Caenorhabditis elegans: one gene and its partners. The protein of the gene in region 2 interacts with the protein of the main gene of each other region in a pairwise test. Each region holds a gene or a part of one and is shown on either strand. Other genes may lie near its edges.

Region 1 (3,755 bases), 6.1 Mb from region 2:
GGCAGGTTGGTAGGCATGAGGTAGGCCCTTCGGTGAGCAAACGTAAACACACAGGCAGCCATGGTGTATACACGAAGGTGGACCCGCAGGCCCGTTGGTAGGCATGAACTAGGCATTTAATAGATGCCTTCTAACCATAGAGTAGGCACACGGGTAGCCATAAAGTAGACGTCTAGGTAGGAATAAAGTAATTATGTAGGCATGGATGCCTTACGTAGGCATGCATAAGGTAGACACGCAGTTAGGCTTGATAAAGGCACAGGTAGGCACTTTGCGAGGCAACTCTTATTCCACTAACTTCTCAGCAATGACCACATGATCCGTCGATCTCAATTCAGCACGTGTCTTGAGGTAAGTGTTCAATGTTTTCACCGTCTCAATTGTGACTTTTGGATCGACATACATCTCTCGCCATTCGGCTTCCAGCACTTTCCGGGCAAAGTTCGGAGGATCTTCCGGTTTTCGGAACAGAGATCCCGCCATGCGATACTGAAAATGAGTACATAAATATCAAATTATAACCGAAAAAGTAGGCATAAAGGCGACCTACGCCTGCCTCATGGCTGCCACTTTCATCAAGCATTTGGAAGTAGGAAAGTATAATTCTGGGCATAGTTTGCTCTCTGCAACACCTTTTCCGAGTACGGTAGCTTCCCAGGTCCGCTAACACCATCAAGCATAACTTTACAGCATGCCTAAATAGGCATGTATTAGGCTCCATTTGCCGGCAAATTGCAGAAACACCGCAAAATGCCGTAGTTCTCGTGGTTTTTGCGTATTTTCGAAGGTACAGTAACCCTGAAACTGTATGATGCGCGATACTCCAATGCAACAGTCTGCCGAACGTGTAATAGTATCCAAAAAAGTTCAGAAATCCGGAATGTATACCTTCTTATCGATATTTGCAGCATCAACTGCTAATTTTGACTTGACTTTCTCGAGCTGTCTCTGACTTTCACCCGATTCTTCAGATTCTTCAGAAGTTGAAGAATCTCGTGCCTCTTTCTTCTTCTTTCTCTCCTTTTGCTTCTTTTTATCCTTCTTGTTCTTCTTTTCAAGACTATTCTTCTTCTGAGTCGATTTTTCTTTTTTCTTCTTATCCGCTTTCTTTTTCCGTTTATCGATTTTTTTAATTAAGCGATCCTGAACACCGGTATTCTCAGATATTCCTCAAGCCTTTTGATCTTACCATTCGTTTTTCTTATACTTCTCGAACGCTGGTTTTTGAAGCAAACACCAACTCGGACCACCGTAAAATTGAAACTGAATTTTATTTGTTTTTTTTTCAAAACCTTCCCCCCTTATCTCCACATTCAATCTATTTAGCACTCACGCTTTCAATACTTTCAATTAAAAAAGGCGAAAATTATTTGTTAAATAAATAAAATTTATTCTCGCTATAGTGTTTAAACTTTAATTTAAATTTAACTATTTAAATTTGACTATTTAAATAATTTCAGACCCAATTCTTTCCCTTCACTGTTCAATTTAAATCGAGAATAGTGGCGCCGAATTTCTCTGCGACTACGGTCAAAAATTGCGGACTTGCCGCGTACACCATGACGCGCAATTGCACATGTGACATTTTTCTAGAAGATTTTCAATTTTTTTCGTCAAAAAACGTTCATTTCACCTCAGTTTTTTTAAGTTGGCTGATGAAATTATATCCAGAAATTTAAAATTCAAACCTATTTCCAGTTTCTGTCCGCTCTGCACTCAGATTTAGCATTTTAGGTCGATTTTCAGTGTTCTTGGTATCATTGCATTTTAAAATTCTTCGAGAAGATCCCGAATAACCGAACAGCTGCCAATGTTGCTATTCCAATTTTCTTTCGTTCATTTTATTCATTCCTCGAGAATATTCTGCGGGTTTGATATCGAGAACATTGTTTCGAAATGCTGAATTTCGTTTCTTTTTCTTATTTTTGAAAATCAATTCTCTTTCAACAACTTATACTTAAATAATTTTCTCTTAATTAAAATTTTTAACATGCTAATATTTTCAGTGTCTGTCAAGACGGAACTTGGATAAGAAAATGGCGCAGTCATCTGCGCAACTACTGTTCGATGAGAGCGGGCAACCGTTCATCGTTATGCGTGAGCAGGAGAACCAGAAGCGTATCACCGGAGTTGAAGCTGTGAAAGTATGTAATAATTATTTTTTTAACCGGAACATTTAGTTTCTAAATGTTATGTTTTCATGTTTGACAAGTCCTGAAGTTTGTTCTTAAAATTAACTTCATTATTTCAGAGTCATATTCTTGCCGCTCGTGCTGTGGCCAACACTCTTCGCACATCTCTCGGTCCACGTGGACTCGACAAGATGCTCGTTTCTCCAGACGGCGATGTCACCATCACCAACGACGGAGCCACTATCATGGAGAAAATGGATGTGCAACATCACGTTGCCAAGCTTATGGTTGAGCTCTCCAAGTCTCAAGATCACGAAATTGGAGACGGAACCACTGGTGTCGTTGGTGCGTTTTTTTTTTTGGCAGAATTCAGCGCGCACCTCGTAAAATTAGATAGCTTAAACTTATTATGATTATCATGTGAGAGTTGAATATATTTTAGTTTAGAAAACCTTTCCTAATATCAAGTAAATTCCTAGCGAAATTCTTTCCTCTGGTGATTCTCTATGAACATTTTTCGATTCATGTCTAGAAAATGTCCACATTTCTCCCTTTTCTTCGTCGTAACTAAACCGTGTTTGCTTTCCGATTTTTCCTTTTTTGGTCGCTGTCCTTCATTTTCTTCTGCTGTGTAGTTTCGTCTGCAGCATAGTTTAAAATTATTTCGGTTTAACGTTTGAAATTCACCTCAACTACGTAAACCATAATCTTGATAAACTTCGGAATAGCTTTGATAGTTGTAACAAGATTTTCATTTTAAAAAAGCAAAGAGTTGATGTTATTGTCTGAGCTTGTGGATACAGCCGGCAAATCGAAATTTTGATTGCAGGATTTTTTGTAAACGTCACCAGCAGCTGCATTTTAAAATGCCATTGAGAAGCAAATTCGTGAGCATTTAGAGTAAAAGAACTGAAATGTTCATTGATTTTTTCATAAAATGACCGTATTTTTATGATGACTATGAGAAGCGCACCTATTTGTTGACGTCATAAACCCGGAATAAGTCTGAATTTCGAGACAATCAGTCTGAGTCACTCGGCAAAATTGGTTATCGATAATTTTTCGTGCTGGTTATAAAAACGAACTCTGTACACATGAAATTCGAAGTGAAACGTGTTTCATCTGCAATCTTTTCTTTATCAGTATCACACATTAAATCGAAATACTTTCTATCGAAAATGTATATTTTGTTGTCACCCTCTGGTCATTCATGATAATTAATTTAAAAAAAAAAGAACCCTTAGCCGTTCCTTTAAAAGTTTGAAATGTTTGATCTATGAGAAAGTGCGCCTGCTCGTTGTCGATCGTTCTAACTAAACAATCCATTTGCTCTCCTTTTTCGCTGTGCCCGACGCTCCGACAAAATAAAAAACGAAAAGATTGCTCATTTTTCTGATGGTGTGAGCACACAAAAGCCAACAGTTGAATGGGAGGTCTGTCGATTCTCCATGTTCTTTGATTCTTCATTGTTTCTATCTGCACCTTTCTATGACGAAGAAATACACGATAAGCTATCTTTCTTTCATTTTTTCAAGTGAATGTTGACCTCCAGACCTTGGAGTCTTAACAATTCTCCGTTTGCACCATTTTTCTTACGTAACCATATGTTTGCGAAAAACGTGG
Region 2 (3,668 bases):
AGCTACCGTAACCAGTCGTTTAATTTTTTTTCAGTTTTTTCCTGGTTTTTCTCGTGTTTTAATGGCTTTTATACCCAAATGCGAATGAATTGCCTAAAAAATACGGTGCCGAATGCACATGGGAATGCGCCTTTAAAGAGTACTGTAATTTCTAGTTTTTGCGGATATATTATCGATTTTTTTAACTTATGGTTTTTTTAAACAGTAAACACATTTTTATCCAAAGTCTGAAAAATCGACAAAAATTCAGGAGCAATCAAAGTTTGAAACTACAGTATTCTTTAAAGGTACACACCTTTGCAAAGTACTGGAGTGGTTACTGTAGTTCAAAAGTCTTACTCGTGTCAGGACCCAAAGCTTGAAAATTAGCTTAAAGACATAATTATTAATTTTTTACTCGTTATTTTCGATATGACCTAAATTTTGAAAACTCTGGGATGTAATCGTGGCGAGACCCACTTTTTGGCCACATATTTCTCCGCGGATTTCCTAGCCATTTTTGCTTTTCGGAACAACAAATTCGGCTTGATCTCCGCAAAATTTCGGGCGGTCCGATGCATTTTTCTGAATTTTTCTAGATTATTGATTGCTAATTGTCCTTAAAATCGATATTCAAACTTTGCATTTTACTACTACGTTTTTCAAAAATTAATTTAAATGGAAAAAGCGTTTATTTATTTTGAAAATGTTTCAAATTATACCAACAAGCAATAATTGAACCACAAAATTCGAAAACAAAAAGAGCAACATGAGATTCAAATACGGAGAGCCTTGAGAGTTTCGGCAGATTTTTGAATGACGGAAAGAAAATCCATGACACGAGCGACTTCTTCCGTTGAATTGAGCCGATCGGTGGCCCATTCGAGCTTCTGAAGGACTGCAGTGGTGGCTGATTCAATTGTATCAGACGATGATGGCTCAGCAGCAGCCGGAACAGCTTCCTTCTTTTTCGCTGGAGCAGATTTCTGGAGCACTGCTTTTTTCGCTGGTTTATTCACTGGAGCCGCTGGGGTTGGGATCTTGTTGTTCACAGCTTCATTCAGGTCTTCGTCTTCTGAAAATTTATAGGTCTATAGATTTCTGGGTCTCGCCACGAAATGTAAGACATTTTTCAGAAGATCTTTAGAAATTCAAATAAAAAAATTTAAATTTAATTTTTAGTAATTTTTTGCGACAAAATCCCTTACGCAATGAAACCTCGCCGACAATAACCGACGATTTTTCTCTGAAAAGTTCACAGGTGACGCAACGACGCACGAGAGCTCGGTCCTCCATGAGAATTCCCTGAAAAAAAAAAATTTGAACTGAAATAATCAGTCAGTGGCCACGTATTACCGGAGCACAAAATTCTGAGAATACGTATTGCACAACATATTTGACGCGCAAAATATCTCGTAGCGAAAACTACAGTAATTCTTTAGAAGGACCACTGTAGCGCTTGTGTCGATTTACGGGATCTTGATTTGCAAAAATTGAGCCCGTAAATCGACAAAAGCGCTACAGTAGTCAATTAATGAATTACTGTAGTTTTCGCTACGAGATATTTTATATTTTGCGTGTCAAATGATTTGCCCAATACGCATTCTCAGAATTTAGTGTTTACCGTAATATTAGTCTTCATCTTACACTGCAAGTCGGGCAGTACTCATCCAACATCGTCTGTCCCTTTAACAAAAGTTCGCCCATTCGCTTCGAGACCTCATCTCGAAAGCTATCTCGGAGACGAATTGACGCAGCGTCATCATCACGAATTCCGTTGATTGGTGCCATTTCGTCGAGATAATTGCGTGCCGCGGGATGTGGGGTTCTGTCAATCCACGTGGATTCTCGTGTCGACGTCAGATTCACAAACTTCTTGTGGACCATAAACTGAGCAACGGAAAAGCTGGAAAAAAAAAGATTTTTTCGATTTTTTTTCGATTTTTCTGGTTCGAAAATTCGAAATTCTGAAAAAAAAAAGAGTATTTCGCCGATCGATAAACGGAAAATTCAAAATGTTTCTAAAAAATTTAAACGAAAAATTGAATTTTATTCGGATTTTTAACCAAGAGAAGGAAAAAATAACAAAAATGTACACACAGAAACAGAAAAATTGAGCAAAACGCAACGTAGAGGAGGAAATTCAGAGAGAAAGTACGAAAAATTGAAAGTGGAGGGAAAATGAAGTGAGTAGGGCCATTTGCACCTTTAAATTTGAATTTTAGGGCGAAAAATGCCAACAATTGGGAGGGGCTTTCTCGGGAAAAAAAAATGGCATTATTTCTTTTTTTTTAAAGCAATTTAAAGGCACATGGCAGGTTTGAGTGATGAATATAGCACAATTTTGAACATTTTTTATACACATTTCCACATTTCTACTCGACTGGCGTACGGAAGAACGATGAATCGTTGGCGACCTCGATCAATTCGTCGTAAGACCCAAAATGACTCGTGAAATTTCCAGTGTTGTCCTTGTAGAATTCGTGTCTCCAGTACGTGGCGTCTGCGCAGATTGCGATGATACTTTGCAGATTTTTCGGCGTTTCTGGAACTTTTTTTTCTTGAAAATTGGGCATATGTATAAATATTCAAATAATTTTAAATTTATATTATGAAATTAATAGTCGTACGGCTACGCTTTCAGATAATTTGTTTCGATGTTTAGAAAAAAAATTTCGCTTGGAAAATTTTCAAAAATATTGAAAAATTATTTTTTGAGGGCAATTTCATTTTTTTCGAAATTTCTAAAAATAAAATCGGGAACATTTTGAATTTTTAACAGAATAATTTCTCATTCGTCTACAAAATGGACATGATTTAAAAAAATTAATATCAGATCTCTAAGCCGAATATTTTCGAATTTATTTTGGAAATTATCTAGTTTTTAATAATTTTTTTCGATTTAAAAAAAATAAAAAACTAGTTTTCAAATTTTTTCAGAAAATTCGGAAAGGTATGTTTTTTGGTTTTTTTTTCGATTTTTTTCCATATCAAATTTTTAATAATTTCCAGTAATTTCTTTAAGTTTTTCTCATAAAAATCAACATGTTTTTGATAAATCCATAGTTTCCTCGCCTTTTTAAAAATTATTTTTACTAATTTTTTTCGATTTTAAGAAAAAACTTAATTTTTTTTTTTGAAAAATATCAAAATTTCAATAATTTCCGGTCATTTTTTAATAGTTTAAAGGCAATTTTCTTTTATTTTTCGGAAAAATAACATATTTTTTGATAAAACCATAGTTTTCTGATTTTTTTTCGTTTTTTTTTAAAGAAAAAATCGACAAATCGAATATTATTGATTTTTGATTTTCTCCTATAAAAAAACCGAGATATCTAAAATTTTTTATGTTTTTTTTTCAATTTTTTGGAAAAAAAACAGTACATTTTTTTAAAAGATTTTCTCCAAAAATCCAAATTAGGAGTGTTCTTATCCAAAATTTTTCAAAAATATTTCAAATCTAACTTTTTCCGAATCCAATAGCCATGACAGGCCTATCCAGCTGAATTTTCACAATACTTGAGCTTCCACGGCTCCTTTCGAGCACATTTTTCTTTTTTTGTGGCTCAGCATCTCGAATTCCAAACATATGCAGAGTTCCCTTATCACTAGCCACTGCCAAATAACTCGAGCACGGTGAAAAAGCCATACACTGAAGGTGAGCCTGAACAGTTCCACGACGAAGTTCA
Region 3 (3,755 bases), on a different chromosome or scaffold from region 2:
ATAACTTTCAGCTCCAAAGCCGTTCATCGAACTTTCACTTCTACAGAGACAACCTGAATTTTCGTCGATTGCCGAGATTGAATACGGGCATGTTCTTATTCAAGAGTTTTCGGTTCAAGTCGATCAAGGACTCATAAATGCGCTTCTTTTGCTCATATCAGGAGAAGTGACAAGAAAACCATATGGAGTTAGTAGTTTTAATAAAATATTTCATTAATGATATCTTTTCAGAAAGAAATGTTCGACGAAGATATCAAAATTTGCCACGTTACACTCTCTGAAACTGCAAGCACATACCGTTCTCAGCGCCCCAAGAGCTTCTACAACGATCTTCACATTTCTCCAATTATGATGCATCTCTCTTTCTCACAGGGAGGAACTTCTGGAGACGTTGCAGCTTCAGGAGTAAGCATGCCTATCCAATCAGAAATGATCAATGTTTTGCTTCGATCTGTAGGAGTAACACTAACAGAACTTCAAGACGTCGTTTTCAAACTTGCATATTTCGAGCGTAAATGTGTCTTTTATAGTCCAGAGCAGTTGAATAGCGAAATTATTTCTCATTATGCCAAACAGTTCATTAAACAAGTTTATGTACTTGTATTAGGACTCGACATCATTGGAAATCCATTCGGTCTCGTTCGTGACTTGTCTGCTGGAGTTGAAGATCTTTTCTATCAGCCATTCCAAGGTGCTATTCAGGGTCCAGAGGTATTGGTTAGATATAATCTTTTCATATAATTTTTATTTTTTAAAGGAATTCGCTGCCGGAGTTGCACTCGGTGTTCAATCGATGTTTGGACATGCTGTTGGTGGTGCTGCTGGAGCAGTTGGCCGAATCACTGGAACTGTCGGAAAAGGAGTCGCTGCGCTTACTTTTGACGATGATTACATGAAAAAACGCCAAGAAGATCTAAATCGTAAACCACAATCATTTGGTGAAGGTATGGCTCGTGGACTCAAAGGACTTGGAATGGGAGTTGTTGGAGGAATAACTGGTGTTGTTACGAAACCAATAGAAGGAGCAAAACAGGAAGGAGGATTTGGATTTGTGAAAGGAGTTGGAAAAGGTCTCATTGGTGTAGTTACTCGTCCTGTCTCGGGAGTTGTAGACTTTGCCAGTGGTACCATGAATTCGGTTCGTGCAGTTGCTGGAACAAATAGAGAAGCCGGACCACTCAGACCACCCCGTGTACTCCGAGAAGACAAGATCGTCAAACCATATTCGAGCGGAGACGCTTATGGATTCAAAGTGTTCAAAGACACAGATCGTGGAGAGCTCGCTGAAACTGATGAATTTGTCACCTACGCATCTATCAGCGAAAAAATGGTTCTCATTATAACGGACCGTCGATTGGTTCTCAGCAAACGTACTGATATGATGGGTGTGTGGCAGACAGAGTGGGGATCAGAGTACTGTAAGATCAAAGAGCCCGAGTTTATTCCAAATGGTGTCAAAATTTTGTTGAAGGTAATATAATATTTTTAAAAATATTTTTGTTCAATACTGTAAATTCCAGGAAAAGAAGAAGGGATTCCTCGGAATCGGTTCCTCTGAAGGAAAGATAATCACATTCCAAAACGCAGAAAAGATTCATCCAAAGCTGGCAGCCGCCTACAAGAAGGCAACACTTGCGTAATACTATTTTTATTTAATCCGTTGATTTTCTCATGAAACGGTCAAAAATGTTCATAATACTTTCTATCATATTCTTTTTTGTCACATTTATTTTTTGTCTATCAAAATATTGAATCGCTACGGATCGTTTTTCTTCATTTCCTGGTTTAAAAATTATTCCCATATTTAAAGTTTTATGTATCGGCCTCCGTAATTAAATTAAATAAAGCATTTTCTTGGGTCATTGCGAAACAATTGCAAAATGTATTTGTGTCTGCACCCTCTGTTCGGTATTATAATCCCTAATATCTTTGTTTCTGTATACTCTCTTCACTCTCAATCTAGTTTCACACATTTCGAAAAACTCGTTTTTGATTGTGGCATTGCAAAAAAGAATATAATCCATATTCCTTTCTTCTAGTAAGCAAATCAATATTTGAATGTCATCGGAAAGTGTCAGCGAGGAGCAGAGTGATTATCAATGGCCTTGGTGTCTAATGGGACATTTTGGAATACAATTTTTGGAGACTGACAACTCGGAGTCTTTTGTTGAGGGAGATTTGTCCAGAGCCTATATAAAGTGAGATTTTATAACGATTACTTTTTAAATAAATTTTTGATGTTTGGAAATTGAAAATTTTGTAGAAAAATTTAATGAACAAACGCGCTCTATTGAGTAGATATTTCCGTACTTTATTTTGAGATATTTTTTTATCGGAAACTCATTTAAAAGGAGTATATTAAATGCCCCTCCGCTAATATAGTATTTTTAAAACCTATTTCTCGAAATATACTACCCGTTAAGAATTCTACATATCTGAAATATAGAAAACTTTGTGACAATTGCGCCATTCTCATAATAATCTTACTTTATAATGTTTTTCCCTTCATAATTAATTTTTTTAAAGAGACTACGAGCTTCTTAAAGCAAGTAAACGGCCAAGAGAAGAAAAATCACCTGAGAAACTACTTCAAGAAGAGATGGACGAGATCAGCCTGAAGGAAATTGATACAGAACCGAATGGTGAGATATTATATGGGGAGAAGTACTTTTGATTATAATTCGAAAGATTTTCAGGAGAAGAAAAACTACTCGACGAGAGAGATACACCATACGAGGTTCTACCAAAGTGGACTTGTGATAAGCGGAAAATGAAAAAAAAGAAAGAAAAGGGCAGGTACAACTATCGGTCTTTCGAAGAATATTGGGATGTTTCGAGCTACTGGTTGCACCAAATTACGTGGCTTAATGATTTCGGAAATCAAATGACGGAGGAAAATCGGAATGAGCTGACGAAACAATGTGAAGTGATGAAACCAATTTATCCCATTGATCAGCATAAGGATATTCTGGTAATTTTTCCAATTCAATTCATTCTGTCTCATACATTTTATTTTAGGAAAACCCAGACTATCAACAGATCACCAAGACAATGATTGAGAAAAATCCCGAATCGACCTTTGAGGATATTTACACGAAACATTGTAAACTGATCAAGAAGCAATCTGAAAATGATTTTCATGATTTTCAAACGAAATTTGTCGCAAATCGGTGCAAGGATATGCTATCTAGAGTTCGTTATTATTTTTTTTTCGAGTTTTGAGACCGTCAACATTCTAATTAGGACATACGGAGTCGCTTCTTTTCTGATAGTATAATTTTTCTTTCTCTTATTTTCCGCTATACTCCCATATTTTTATTTTTAAAAAAGTGAATACTGGAAAGAAGTGAGTACCTGCCCTAATCTTAAACAAATTTTTAAACAACTCATTTTGATTTGTTATATATTTCAGATCAAACGACTTGGTTATGCTCCAGGTTTTGAAGAATCTCAACTACCTGTCTTCCATAGTGGAGCTGAACAAGAGATCGAGAGACCAATTATAAAAGATATCAGATACACGATTGACGAGTCTTACTCCAAAAAATTCTGGTACTGCCTGGAATGCAATATTTAATTATTTCAATCTTTCAGTGGCGCCGATCCTCGAGATGAAACTTCAGATGAACCTTCAACTTCCGAAGAATCACAATCTGCTGATGTTTCGTCTGCAGTTATATCAATCAAAAATCCTGCAGAAATTCGATTTAACTTCGATCCCGAAACTGAGCAGCACTTGATTGCATCTAATGCTG

The links.
Region 1: the proteins of Y39A1A.3 (region 2) and cct-5 interact in a two-hybrid assay, tested with the Caenorhabditis elegans proteins (one large-scale study listed by BioGRID).
Region 3: the proteins of Y39A1A.3 (region 2) and tgs-1 interact in a two-hybrid assay, tested with the Caenorhabditis elegans proteins (one large-scale study listed by BioGRID).

The regions. Positions count from the first base shown.
Region 1 is NC_003281.10:4,506,366-4,510,120, reverse strand, and holds the start of cct-5 (T-complex protein 1 subunit epsilon), read left to right. Parts: upstream 1-2,006; 5' UTR 2,007-2,036; coding exon 2,037-2,144; intron 2,145-2,251; coding exon 2,252-2,477; intron 2,478-3,755. Other genes in the region: F25F2.1 (Protein kinase domain-containing protein), read right to left, coding at 299-489, 889-1,143, 1,190-1,192.
Region 2 is NC_003281.10:10,594,603-10,598,270, forward strand, and holds Y39A1A.3 (Sjogren's syndrome/scleroderma autoantigen 1 (Autoantigen p27)), read right to left. Parts: upstream 1,886-3,668; 5' UTR 1,867-1,885; coding exon 1,627-1,866; intron 1,285-1,626; coding exon 1,188-1,284; intron 1,055-1,187; coding exon 756-1,054; 3' UTR 656-755; downstream 1-655. Other genes in the region: Y45F3A.9 (rRNA methyltransferase 1, mitochondrial), read right to left, coding at 460-560; epg-6 (Ectopic P granules protein 6), read right to left, coding at 2,355-2,530, 3,445-3,668.
Region 3 is NC_003279.8:8,903,751-8,907,505, reverse strand, and holds the start of tgs-1 (Trimethylguanosine synthase), read left to right. Parts: upstream 1-2,058; coding exon 2,059-2,198; intron 2,199-2,526; coding exon 2,527-2,642; intron 2,643-2,696; coding exon 2,697-2,971; intron 2,972-3,018; coding exon 3,019-3,192; intron 3,193-3,412; coding exon 3,413-3,552; intron 3,553-3,594; coding exon 3,595-3,755. Other genes in the region: vps-13A (Vacuolar protein sorting-associated protein 13), read left to right, coding at 12-187, 232-711, 758-1,471, 1,521-1,640.